Linked DNA regions of Sus scrofa. The protein of the gene in region 3 interacts with the protein of the main gene of each other region in a biochemical or structural test. Links are inferred from orthologs where the notes say so. Each region holds a gene or a part of one and is shown on either strand. Other genes may lie near its edges.

Evidence for each region. The genes of interacting proteins can lie anywhere in the genome.
Region 1: the proteins of EVL (region 3) and APBB1 form a complex in vitro, tested with the Homo sapiens proteins (2 studies listed by BioGRID). The link is inferred for Sus scrofa from reciprocal best matches to the Homo sapiens genes EVL and APBB1.
Region 2: the proteins of EVL (region 3) and RAD51 form a complex in vitro, tested with the Homo sapiens proteins (2 studies listed by BioGRID and IntAct). The link is inferred for Sus scrofa from reciprocal best matches to the Homo sapiens genes EVL and RAD51.

What each region holds. Positions count from the first base shown.
Region 1 is NC_010451.4:3,302,329-3,306,074, reverse strand, and holds the start of APBB1 (amyloid beta A4 precursor protein-binding family B member 1), read right to left. Parts: upstream 2,729-3,746; 5' UTR 2,586-2,728; intron 1-2,585. UniProt on the Homo sapiens protein: Transcription coregulator that can have both coactivator and corepressor functions. Adapter protein that forms a transcriptionally active complex with the gamma-secretase-derived amyloid precursor protein (APP) intracellular domain.
Region 2 is NC_010443.5:130,637,233-130,640,918, reverse strand, and holds the start of RAD51 (DNA repair protein RAD51 homolog 1), read left to right. Parts: upstream 1-810; 5' UTR 811-1,041; intron 1,042-3,686.
Region 3 is NC_010449.5:120,986,816-120,990,561, reverse strand, and holds the start of EVL (ena/VASP-like protein), read right to left. Parts: upstream 2,312-3,746; 5' UTR 2,178-2,311; coding exon 2,167-2,177; intron 1-2,166. UniProt on the Homo sapiens protein: Ena/VASP proteins are actin-associated proteins involved in a range of processes dependent on cytoskeleton remodeling and cell polarity such as axon guidance and lamellipodial and filopodial dynamics in migrating cells.

The sequences.
Region 1 (3,746 bases), on a different chromosome or scaffold from region 3:
AAGAGCTCAGCTCCGTTCCGGGCCCCTCCCTGAGCTCCAGATACACTCAGTCGGCGGCCTACTCACCACCCCACCTGGAGGTCTCAGAGGCCTCTCAAACCCACACACCCGTTCCTGTTTCTCTCTGCCATCCCCTAACTGGTCCCCGTTCAGGACGCCGGCTCAGGGAATGACAGGACCAACCATCCTGCTGCCTATACCAGAAGGAGGGGACCATTCCAGACGCGACCGTCCCCTCGCGCTGCATATACTCAATCCATCCCCAGGTCCTGACAATTTCTCTCCAAGAGAAAACTCTGGACTTGATCCACTGTCCACATCCACTACCGACAACTGTCCACCCCAAGGACAAGGACCTTAAGATTAAAATTCTCAACATGGCTTCAACTGTCCAGCTCAGTCTGGCCTCTGCCTTCCTCTCCAGCTCTGGCACTCTGCTGTCCAGCCGCGCTGGCCTTCTTTTGATTCCTCGAAGACACTGTGCCCTCTCCCTCCAGAAGGTGTCTGCGTGCGATTCCCCTTCTCCCGGGAACGTCCTACCCTCCCAGCCTGGCCCTAGTAACCGTCCTCTACCTCTTAGTTCCAGCAGCATGTTCTCAGCGAAGCCTTCCTTCCCCCCTCCTCCCCCAGATCAGTGTAGCCTGTGCTCGCTGGTGCTCTCAAGGCAACACCCCCCCCCCCGTGGTATTTGTTAAATTTGCAATCTTATTCTTATCTGATTCCCCCTGGACTGTCAGCTGCGGGGTATCAGATAAAGGCGGACACAGACGCAGTCCATTGTGCTCGAAATTATACCATCAGTGCCTAACAGTACCTGGTATGTATTACGTGTCCAAAACGTATCTGCTGCGTGAATAAATGATTAGATAGACCCCTTTTTTCCTTTTAGGGCTGCAGATGCGGCATACGGAAGTTCCCAGGCTAGGGGTTGAATTGGAGCTGCAGCTGCCAGCCTACACCACAGCCACAGCAATGCTGGATCCTTAACCCACTGAGCATGGCCAGGGATCGCACCTGCATGCTCGTGGATATCAGTCAGGTTCAACGGAACTCCTTATTTTATTTTGTTTTTTTAAGGAAAACACTATATTAGAGTATTAAGGGGAGGGAGGCAGCAGGGTATAGGCTCTCAGAGCGATCAAGGGAAAGAGGAGGCGGGGGTTATGGCCTAGGTTAAGCTTGGTGGCAGTGGGTGAGATGGAGTGAAATGAATGCATTTGAAAATCACTTGGGTAGTGGATGTGACAGAATTTGATGACACGAGACGTAGCGAATGAGAGAGAGAGAGGTTCATCTAGACTGTAGCCCAGGATTCCAGTTTGGTAACTGATTGGGAAGTAGCCATTTCTGAGAGTTGAAGGAGGAGTCGATTCAGAAGAACAGCAGAAAGGGAACACGGGGAGGACAACACAGCTTGGGATCTGTAAGTCTGGAATTCCTGTTGGACTTTCAAGGGGATGTCAGGAGGCCAGGTGGAGGCTGAGTCTGGAGTTCAGGAAGAGATCTGGGCAAGATAGATAAGGCTGGGAATTATATTTCTATATATAAGTGGAATATATATATAATGGAATATATATATATAAATGGAATATATATATATATATAAATGGAATTGGAGGCCTTGAGAGTGAACGAAATACCTGAAGAAAAGGTGCCGAATGAAAGAAGATAGCCCAGGAAAGAAGCAAGAATCTCACCACCATCGAAAGGGAGGGAAGGAGGGAGCAAATGAGATGGAGAAGGAGCAGACAATGCTGCAGGGGAGACCAGGAAAATGTTTCAAGGAGAGTGACGTCCCCCACGAGTGCTCGGAAACGTGAGGGGATAGCAGGAAAGCATCCACTGGGGTTGGCCACATGGAAGTCTCCAGTGACCTTGGCTAGAGCAGTTTCCGCGGGTGCCAGAGGCAGAGGATGGAGTGAAGTGGCTTTAGGAATGAATGGGAAATGAGGAAATAAACACAGCAAGCGCAGAGGAGGAACCCGCTGTAAGGACGGGAGGGAGCTGGACTCTGCGGAGGGGCTGGGAATGCAAGCAGCAGCACGGGCAGATGCAAAACTGGTTCGAATACCCTCCGCATTGGCAGTGGGAAAGCGGCTCCTAGGGAGCGCTCCTGCCAGCGCTAGGCCTCCCCGAGCCCTGGGGACACAGCCGGCGCCAGGGCACACCCCTCGGTCGCTGAGGGCAACAGAATGCGGCTTGACAGATGCCAGGCCTGGGACCCTGCAGGAATCCCTGCGGCCTGTCTGCCTGCCTCACCCCGCGTCCCCCTCCCCGTCCTAGACCTCCCCTCCCCCACCCCCACCGCCCCCCTCTTCCCGTTCCCCCTTCTCGCTTCCTATTCATCCCGGAGAGGCAGGAGGTAAAGGTCGGGGAGGGGACGGGGTGAGGACCGAAGTGGGGTCGGACCTGGTAAGGGAGGAAGAGATTGGGGGGGTCGGAATAGGCGGCGGGAGGGCCGCCTGCCCGGACCGGGCCTGGCCGGGGGACAAGGGGCGCCACAGGGCTCCGGCTGCGGGGTCCGCCGGCCGCCGGGGACCGGGATCCGAGCGCCCGGGCTGGGCCTCGGCAGGGGCAGCTCCTACCTGCGCGGGGAGGCCCCAGGCCCAGGTGGCGGAGGTGGCTCAGGCTGCGGGGCTCGGGCTCCGCGGCGGCTTCTCCATCACAACATCCCCCGCCCAGGAGCGCGCGGGCCGCGGGGCCGCGCCCGGAGCGGCGGGGGCGCGCGCCGGGCCGGGCTGGGGGAGGGGCGCCATCTTGGGCCGGGCGCGGGCGCGAGCGCGGGCGCGGGCGCGAGCCCCCCGCGGGCCCCTCCCCACGCGGCCTTGGGGCCTCGGGGAGCCGCGCCGCCCCGGCGCCCTCGCCCGCCGCCGTCCCCGCGCCCGGCCCCCGGGTCCCCGGGCGCTGCCCCGGCCTCGGCCGCCCCCCGCCCGCCCTCCGCCGCGAGGCCCCGGACTCACCGTGCGCGCCTGTCCGGGCCTCGGCCCCGCACCCCGGCGGGGCGACGCGCCACGGGGATGGAGCGGGAGCGGCGGGGCCGGGGCGGGCGCGCGGGCAGCGGCGCGGAGGAGGCAGCCTGCGGGGCCCCGGCGGCAGCCCTCCCTGGCGTGCTGGTGGAGCGGCGAGGCGCACGCGGCGTGGGCGGTAATAATAGTAGCCGGTGTCTCTCGACCGCTCACGCCGTGCCAGGCGCGGCGGTGAACCCTTCCCACGCGCTCGTCCTCACAGCGGCCCTGTGCAGTCGCCGCGGCGACCGTCCTCAGTTTTCCTGGGCAGGTGCTCAGGTTCAGGAAGGTAAAGCGACTTGCCCGCGGTCACAGGTAAGCGGGGACCTCACGCTGGAACCCAGGTGTTCCCTCACCCCCACCCTGTCGTCGAACACGATCGCGTGACACCAGGGCCTTGCAGACGTGGCAGATGAATTGCTCTCCAGTGGAAGCTCCCGGGAGGGAGGGAAGAAGGCAGAACGTGGACGACAGGCGTAAGCAGGGAATGGGGCGGCCCAGTGTTGCACAGCGGCCCGGATGGTGGGCTAGTTCCCAGCGGGCAGGTCAGTGGCCCAGAGGCCATCGAGGCTGGTGAGGGGGGAGATTACCAGCCAGAAACCCTCTTCTGGCTCATTCCTCCAAGACAGGTTTTCATTTCTTATACCTACGGAATATTGAGCAAGCGACTCAAGATGTCCTCAAAGTGCCGAAAACTAAAAATGCCAAATCTAAATTCATTGTCTCATCTCCTTCTTTACT
Region 2 (3,686 bases), on a different chromosome or scaffold from region 3:
AGCCTTTTCATAGCCTGAGCTAAATGTAGTTTAACAGTCTCAGCATCTCTTAAGACACTTTTCTTCCCTCATCAGAGAATGCTATTCCTTGACTATTGTTGTTAATTTCCATACCCATACTACTCCATCCACTTGTACTCCATCTCCTATTCTTCGCCCAGGAAAACCCTGCTCACCCTTTAAAACCGGAATAAACTTTCTAGCAAACTACGGTAAGATTTATAGTCTCAAAATCAATGTTCCCTTCCTTGCAGTTCTGCAAATCTCCAGTAAAGTACCACAGCCTGACTAATATTTCAGGTGTTCCTCTTTCTCCTTCACTAGCTCTGTGTTCCAGTTTCATCCATCTACTCAAGGGTCCTCAGCTCCACCACCTACAAGGGCCAGGGAGCGCCTGGCTCTGGAATTGGAGAGTCAGGGGCTCTGAGAAATCTGAAGGGCCAAATGCCCCAGCTTAGATACCTAACAAATCAAGAAAAGCTCTCAAGAACCTACGTATTTCCCAGAGGGGCTGAGGAGCCCGCCCGCAGTGCACACTGGGAGACGTAGTTTGGGGCCGACCCACTACCTCTTGGGAGTTGTAGTCCTTGGTTTCGTAAAAGGAAGAAGGAGGCGACTTCCAAATTTTGAATTAGTCCTTGTGGGAAAAAGAAGAGGGAAATCCATAACCTTCTGCAAGGTCTGGGCCCTATCTCTGGGTCTCAAGAACGTTGGCCAAAGGGGAGGAAGGCGGATCCGAGAGGGGCGGGGAGACGTTACGTTGACGCGGACGTGACCCTGCCCAATAGCATTTGGCGGGATTTCCGAAGGCTGCAGGTTCGGCGCGCGCTGCGGCCTGAGACCGAGGTCTGAGGAGAGCTCAGACGCGCAGCTGGGAGCTGAGAAGTTTCGTGTATTCCGTGCCGAAGGCCGGAGCAGGGGAGTAGAGAGGTGGACGCTGCGAGGGGCTCTGCACTCCGTCCGGGGTCGAGCGCGCGCGGGTCCAGCGGACTGAGGTTCGGAACGCTCAGCCGGCCAGAGCGGGTAGCGCTGCAGGCCGAGGTGAGTGTGAGGCGCGGACCCGGCCCCTTCCCATCGCGGGGTTTGGCTAGGGGTAAGCCGGACTCGGACTGGACCCAGGCCCCGGGCTCCAGCTCCCGCCGCCGGCTTGCGGGCCCCTCCGCGCCAATTGAGAAAGTCGGAGAAGGCGGGGCGGAGCTGGGATGTGCCCTGGCAGATCTGACCCTGGCAGCTCTTTGTGGCGAAAATAGCAGCTCACTCTAGTCTTTGGAGCTGGGAGGAACTTAGAGGCCTTCACTTCCAACATCCACTTTCTGGGCATGGGCCAGGAAGCCAAGACCCAGAGAAGTGTAGAGCCTTAAAATCACAACTGTTAAGCCAGAGCCAGGGTTTCCGGATTTCTGGTCAGTCCCTTTTCCATAACACAAAGTTTAGCTTACAAAATACCCACCTCCAGTTGCCCAAAAGATATTTGAATTGTCTGATGTGGGAGACCTTTCACGTGATGCCTAGGGAATGATCTGTAGCGAGGTTTGTTGTTTTTTTCCTTAAACTTTAAAGTGAAGTGTAATATAGAAAAGTGTACAGATCGAAAGTGTATACAGCTTCATGAATCGTTATAAAACGAATATATACCTGTGTAATCACCACTCATGTCAGAAATAGATTTTTCTCAGCACCCCGGAAGCCTCCCTTGTGCCCCCTTATCTAATACTCTCCTTTCTCCCGAGAGCTAACTAGTTGACAGACGGCTAACACCGTTGACTAATTTTGCCTGGTTTTGATTTTTGGCCGCACCAGGGACAGCCCCAGGACAGTGATGGAACCCGCCCAACAGCAGGACAACGCCAGATCCTTAACCTCCTAAACCATAAGGGAATTTCTCCGTTTTTGAGGGTTTTTTTTCTGTCTTTTGTCTTTTCAGGGCTGCACCCATGGCATATGGAGGTTCACAGGCCAGGGGTCGAATCGGAGCTGTAGCCGCCAGCCTACTCCACAGGCACAGCAACGCCTCCCCAACCCACTGAGCAAGGCCAGGAATCGAACCTGCAACCTCGTGGTTCCTAGTCGGATTCGTTAACCACTGAGCCACGACGGGACCTCCTGTTTTTGAGTTTTATGTAAGTAATACTGTATATTTTCATGTCTGGCTTTGCTCAACATTTTGTCTTTAGATTCATACGTCTTTGCATTTGGCAGTAGTTCTTTCTGGTTGCTGTATTGTATTTCTTACTCATTTTACCTGTGGTAGATATCTGGATTTTTTTCTGCTTCTCAGCTTTTATGAGAAAGGTTGTGGAGAACATTCCCACATACATTTTGGTGCACACGTGTATGGTTTGCAGTTGGTTAATAACACAGAGTAGTGAAATTCCTGGGTCATGGCATTTGTCTATCTTTTCTTTCTTTCTTTTTTTTTTTTTTTTTGTCTTTTTACCTTTTCTAGGGCCTCTTCTGCAGCATATGGAGGTTCCCAGGCTACCAATCAGAGCTGTAGCCACCAGCCTATGCCACAGCCACAGCAACGCTGGATCCTTAACCCACTGAGCAAAGCCAGGGATCGAACATGCAACCTCATGGTTACTAGTTGGATTTGTTAACAGGTGAGTCACGATGGGAACTCCAGCATTTGTCTATTTTCACCTTCCATATTTAATACTAGTTTTCTAAAGTGGTCTAATTTACACTTAAACCAGCGGTGAATGAGTGTTTAGTTATCCTACACATTGGCTAACATTGTCAGTCTTTTAAATTTTAGCTATTATATAATGGTTTTAATTTTAATTTTCTTGATTAATGAAGTTGAGCATTTGTTGATAGGTTTATTAGCCACTGGGGTATCTTCTGTTATGAAGTGCTTGTTCACATCTCTTGCCTATTTTTCTACTGGGTTGTCTTTCTTATTGATTTGAAAGAATTCTCTATGTATTCTGGTTATCAGCCCTTTATATTCATAATTGTGGTAAGTATAACAGTTTATTTTTGTGGTAAATATTTTCTCCTCGCATTTTTCATTCTTTCAGTGGTGTATTTTGATGAACAGGAGTTCTAAGTTTAAATATAGTCTAATTTTCCAGTCTTTTCCTTTTTGATTATTGCTTTACGTGTGCAGTTCAAGCCACCTTTTTCATAAATTACAAAGGGAGATATTTAAATTGCATTCAGGTGATCCTGATATTTGGAATTATAGATCACATTATGCTAAATCCTCAGTCTAAGAGCTGTACTTGAAATACTCAAGAACAAATGTCATCTTTCAAGTCCAAGAATGGAGATTTATTTTCCTTTTCTCTTTTCTTTCTTTTTTTCTCTCTTTCCCTCTTTCTCTCTTTCTTTCCCGCACCTGTGGCATATGGAAGTTTCTGGGCTATGGATTGAATCCCAGGCACAGCTGTGTCCTGTGCCACAGCTGTGGCAACTCCAGGTCCTTAACCTGTTATGCCACAGCAGGAACTCTTGTCTGTTTTCTTTTGAGTTAAATTTATCCTATTGTTAAATTGTCCAGCTTGTTGTGGTGTGATTTGAGTCCATTTATTCTTGTGGACATCAATACTTGTTTGCTTTTACAATACCTCAAGAAGATATTTAACATTTTTTTGTTCTCCGTTCTTTTCAAACTGAGCAATCTTAACTCTTATCATATTAATCTGACTTTTCGTATACCCCTTACACTTATGGAATATTTC
Region 3 (3,746 bases):
GTGCACCGTACGCGCTGGCGCTCAGAACGCAGTTCCTGGCGGATGGCTGGCCAGGATGGGCTGACGTGCTCTCAGGGCGCCGAGGCCTTTGGGGACCCTGAGGCCTTTGGGGACCCCGCTGGCTCAGGCGCCACGGCGACTGAGGAATCCAGCTGTTCCAGCTCAGCCGGGCAAGCATGTGCCCAAGCAAACGCTGCGGGCCTTACAGCGGCTGTGCAGGGCGGCTTCGCAGTGGCTGGACGGGGCCAACTCGCTCAAGACAAACGCTGCCTCGACGGCCCGACCTGGGTGCCCCAGAGCTGGACTAAAAAAAATCATTTTCAGATTTCAAAATTATCACCAGCAAAATACAATTTTTTTCCTCAAAGAAATATTGAGGACTGCTTAAAAAAGATAAAAGAGAGTAAATTTGGTTGAAGTGGCGGGTGCGATGCCTAAGGCACCACTAACCTACACAGTCCACGCTGGATGGGCTCTCAGCTGCTTTCAATATGGAAACGCCTAGGATTTCTATACCTTTTCTTTTTTCTTTTTTGTCTTTCTTGTCTTTTTAGGGCCGTACCCGTGGCATACGGAGGTTCCCAGGCCAGGGGTCGAATCGGAGCTGTAGCCGACCGCCTACTCCAGAGCCACAGCAACGTGGGATCCAAGCTGCGTATGCAACCTATACCACAGATCACGGCAACACCAGATCCTTAACCCACTGAGCGAGGCCAGGGATCGAACCCGTGTCCTCATGGATGCGAGTCGGGGTCGCCAACCACTGAGCCACAATGGGCTCTCCAAGATTTCCACACTTTTAATTCAAGGATTTTTGACACCTGCTTTGCTTCCTCCTCACTTACTTCTGACGGTATTTTCTGCAATGGCAGCTGACAGGATACACTGTGCTTTTCATGGTGTAACTTTCAGCTGAAGATGACTGGTTCCTGCCCACTTTGGAAGGTAACAGGCCTTTGAAATGGAAAGTCTTGTTTTCCACAGCTCCACCCACAAACCTTCTAAGGCTCAAGGAAAATGACTAAAATGATGGGAAACATGGCCGCAAGGGAGCAGGAACAGAGCCAACTGTAAACACAGCACCTGCCCTGGCTCTATGAGCGCTGGGCCTGGAGGCAGTGACTCCAGCACCTGGCCAAGGCTGCGCTCTGAGGCGGGAGCACTGCCCTCCCCAGAGCTCCCCCGCTGACCAGGAGCATGGCACCAGCCCTACTCCCCGCACCATCCACTTTCACAAGGCATTGCAAGGCACTCCCAGAGAGCCTGGCCCATGTCCTGGAAGCTTCTCCTCCTAAGCAACCCTGAGCAAGCGCCATGGCCCGTCAGAGGCCAGGCCTCCTCCTCCACAGGACACCAGTATCCCCTCCCTGAGCTGACCCACCCAACAAGGCTGGAAGCATCAGATAAGGGAATGGGTCAAACTGCAGTGTGGGAACTGGGAAGTAACTTTAAGGAGCAGGATGACAATTCTGTGCTAAGACGCAAAGCTGCAAGGAGTGGACCAGGCAAATGCCCCCGATTCCAGGGGATGAAAGCCTGCTCTGTGGCCCATTGTCTTTCATGGAGCTGCAGGGCAGGGAGAGGCATGTCTAAAACGCAATCTCACTTTTAGAAGTTACATGTGCAGGACGCAAACAGGCTGGTGCCCACATGCACGTGAAACCACAACAGTCTAAGTGACCGGTGGCCCAAAGTCAGCCACAGGTGTCTAAAGCAGACGTTTGGGGTCCTGCTGTTACGGCCCATGAAGTTTCCACTACAAAGCGTACCCCACTTCTTCCCTCCTGCCCAGTATTGAGAGAAAACCGCTCGAGTGTCTTCAGGCCATTCCCAGAGGAGAACCCAGGACCCATCGGAGCACCTCTGAGCCGAATGCCAACCCCCTCACATGGTTCAGAGCCCCCTCCGCCACCTGGACTTCTGAGGCGGCGCTTTCCAAACGCACACAAAGTGCCTAAAGACAACAGCCATCGAGGGACCCGGGCCGGTGTGGCGGCCAGACCCGCAGATGAGCGCGCGCGGGCTCCGCACGACCTGCGGTGTGACAGCTGGTCTCCCCATGCGTGCAACCTGCGGGTCTGGGAGGGTTTCCAGGGCCTTCGGCTCTCTGCTATCACGGCTCCAGGTCTCCTCCGGACGCCCCTGTCCCCTGGTCCCCATACTCACACGGTGGCCATGGCTGCGTGGCTGCGGCACGGAGCAGCGAGGCGGTGGGTCGTGGATCCCACTGGGCCCGCTGACCAGAGGGCCACGGACCCCGGGGAGGCAGCGACGTGACGCTGAGGCTCTGCTTAGAGCCAAACAGGAAAAGGAAGATGAACCAGAGACAAAGGGGAAACAAACGCCAGTTAAGAACTGAAACCGAGGTAGAAAATAGAGAAACGAGAGGCTCTCGTGGTGCAGGGCCCCCGCCCCCTCCCCGTGGGGCCGCGCCTGAGGCCTCAAGTTCCAGCACTTTCTGCAGACTGAGTGGGCTCTGGGAAAGGCGGGGGGCCCCCCGGCAGGAGAGCCGTCGGCCCTGTCCTCCCAGGGCCTTTGTGGAAGGGCCCCCTGGTCCAACCTGCAGAGCCCACAGACGACTCAATGCTTTTGACAGCCGGTTGAGGCTTCCCGTTTGACTCGGGAATAAATCCTGCCCTCCGGCTGGAAGACGGGTCTCACCACCCCCGGTGAGGTTTCTGTCAGCACCTCAGGGCTGGAAGGAAAATGTCTGAGGACCAACGGGAACGTGGGTTGGTCGCTGGCTCCACCGACCCCGGCCGGGCGGCTGCTTTCTCAGCTCTAAGGTGGGGCTGCGGATGCTCAGTCTGTGAACCCTCGCCCGGCGCTCGGGCGCATCCGCTCCACTCGCGAGCTTCCGTGCAGAGCTCACAGAGACCCCACAAAGTGTCATGCATTGTACTAGAAATGAGAGACAAAACAGTGCCAGCAACAGCAGCACTTGTCCTTAAAGGGCTCTTAAGGTTTAGAAAGGAAGGGACCGATAGGTGAGCAGAGGGGTGCGTCCAACAGTTGCTACTGCTATCGAGGCAAATATACCGAGCACAGGGCAAGAGAAAGATCGGTCCTAACCAGAGGGCTGGAAGCACTGAATGCCGAACATCCCTTTTCAAAGGGTTTCAGAGACACACCTCCTTTGGCACCGCTTTAGGTGCCAGTCAAACTTTGACACACTGTGGTTTTCATTTTCTCTTAATTCAAGATATTTTCTATTTCCCTCTGCGTTTTCTTCTTCTTTTTTTTTGGCCGCACCCGAGACATATGGAAGTTCCCAGGCTTGGGAATGCATCTGGGCTGCAATGCCACCTGGGCCACAGCTGAGGCAATGCTGGATCTTTAACCCTGTGTGCCACAGCAGGAACTCCTGGTTTCTTCTTTTACCCACGGATTACTTAGAAGTGCTTTAATTGCGAAAGAGTCATTGTTATCCTTCCTCTGCTGTTTATTTCTGAAACATACTTAGTCTAAGTCTTTTGTTTTCCTGGTATGGCTGCAGTCCTGTTAAATGTAGGGAGACCTGCCGGATGGCCCAGCAGGAGGTCTATCTTGGTGAAAAGAAGGCGTGTTCTGAAACTGGGTGCAGGGTCCAAAACGTCAATTAGGTCAAGGTGGTTAATAGTGTGTTTGAGATCTTCTTACGTCTTTACTGGTTTGCTGTTGGTTTATTTTTATCTCATTGTTCTATCAACAGTTGAGACTAAGGTATTAAAATCTCAAACCACAACAGTGGATCTGTCCATTTCTGT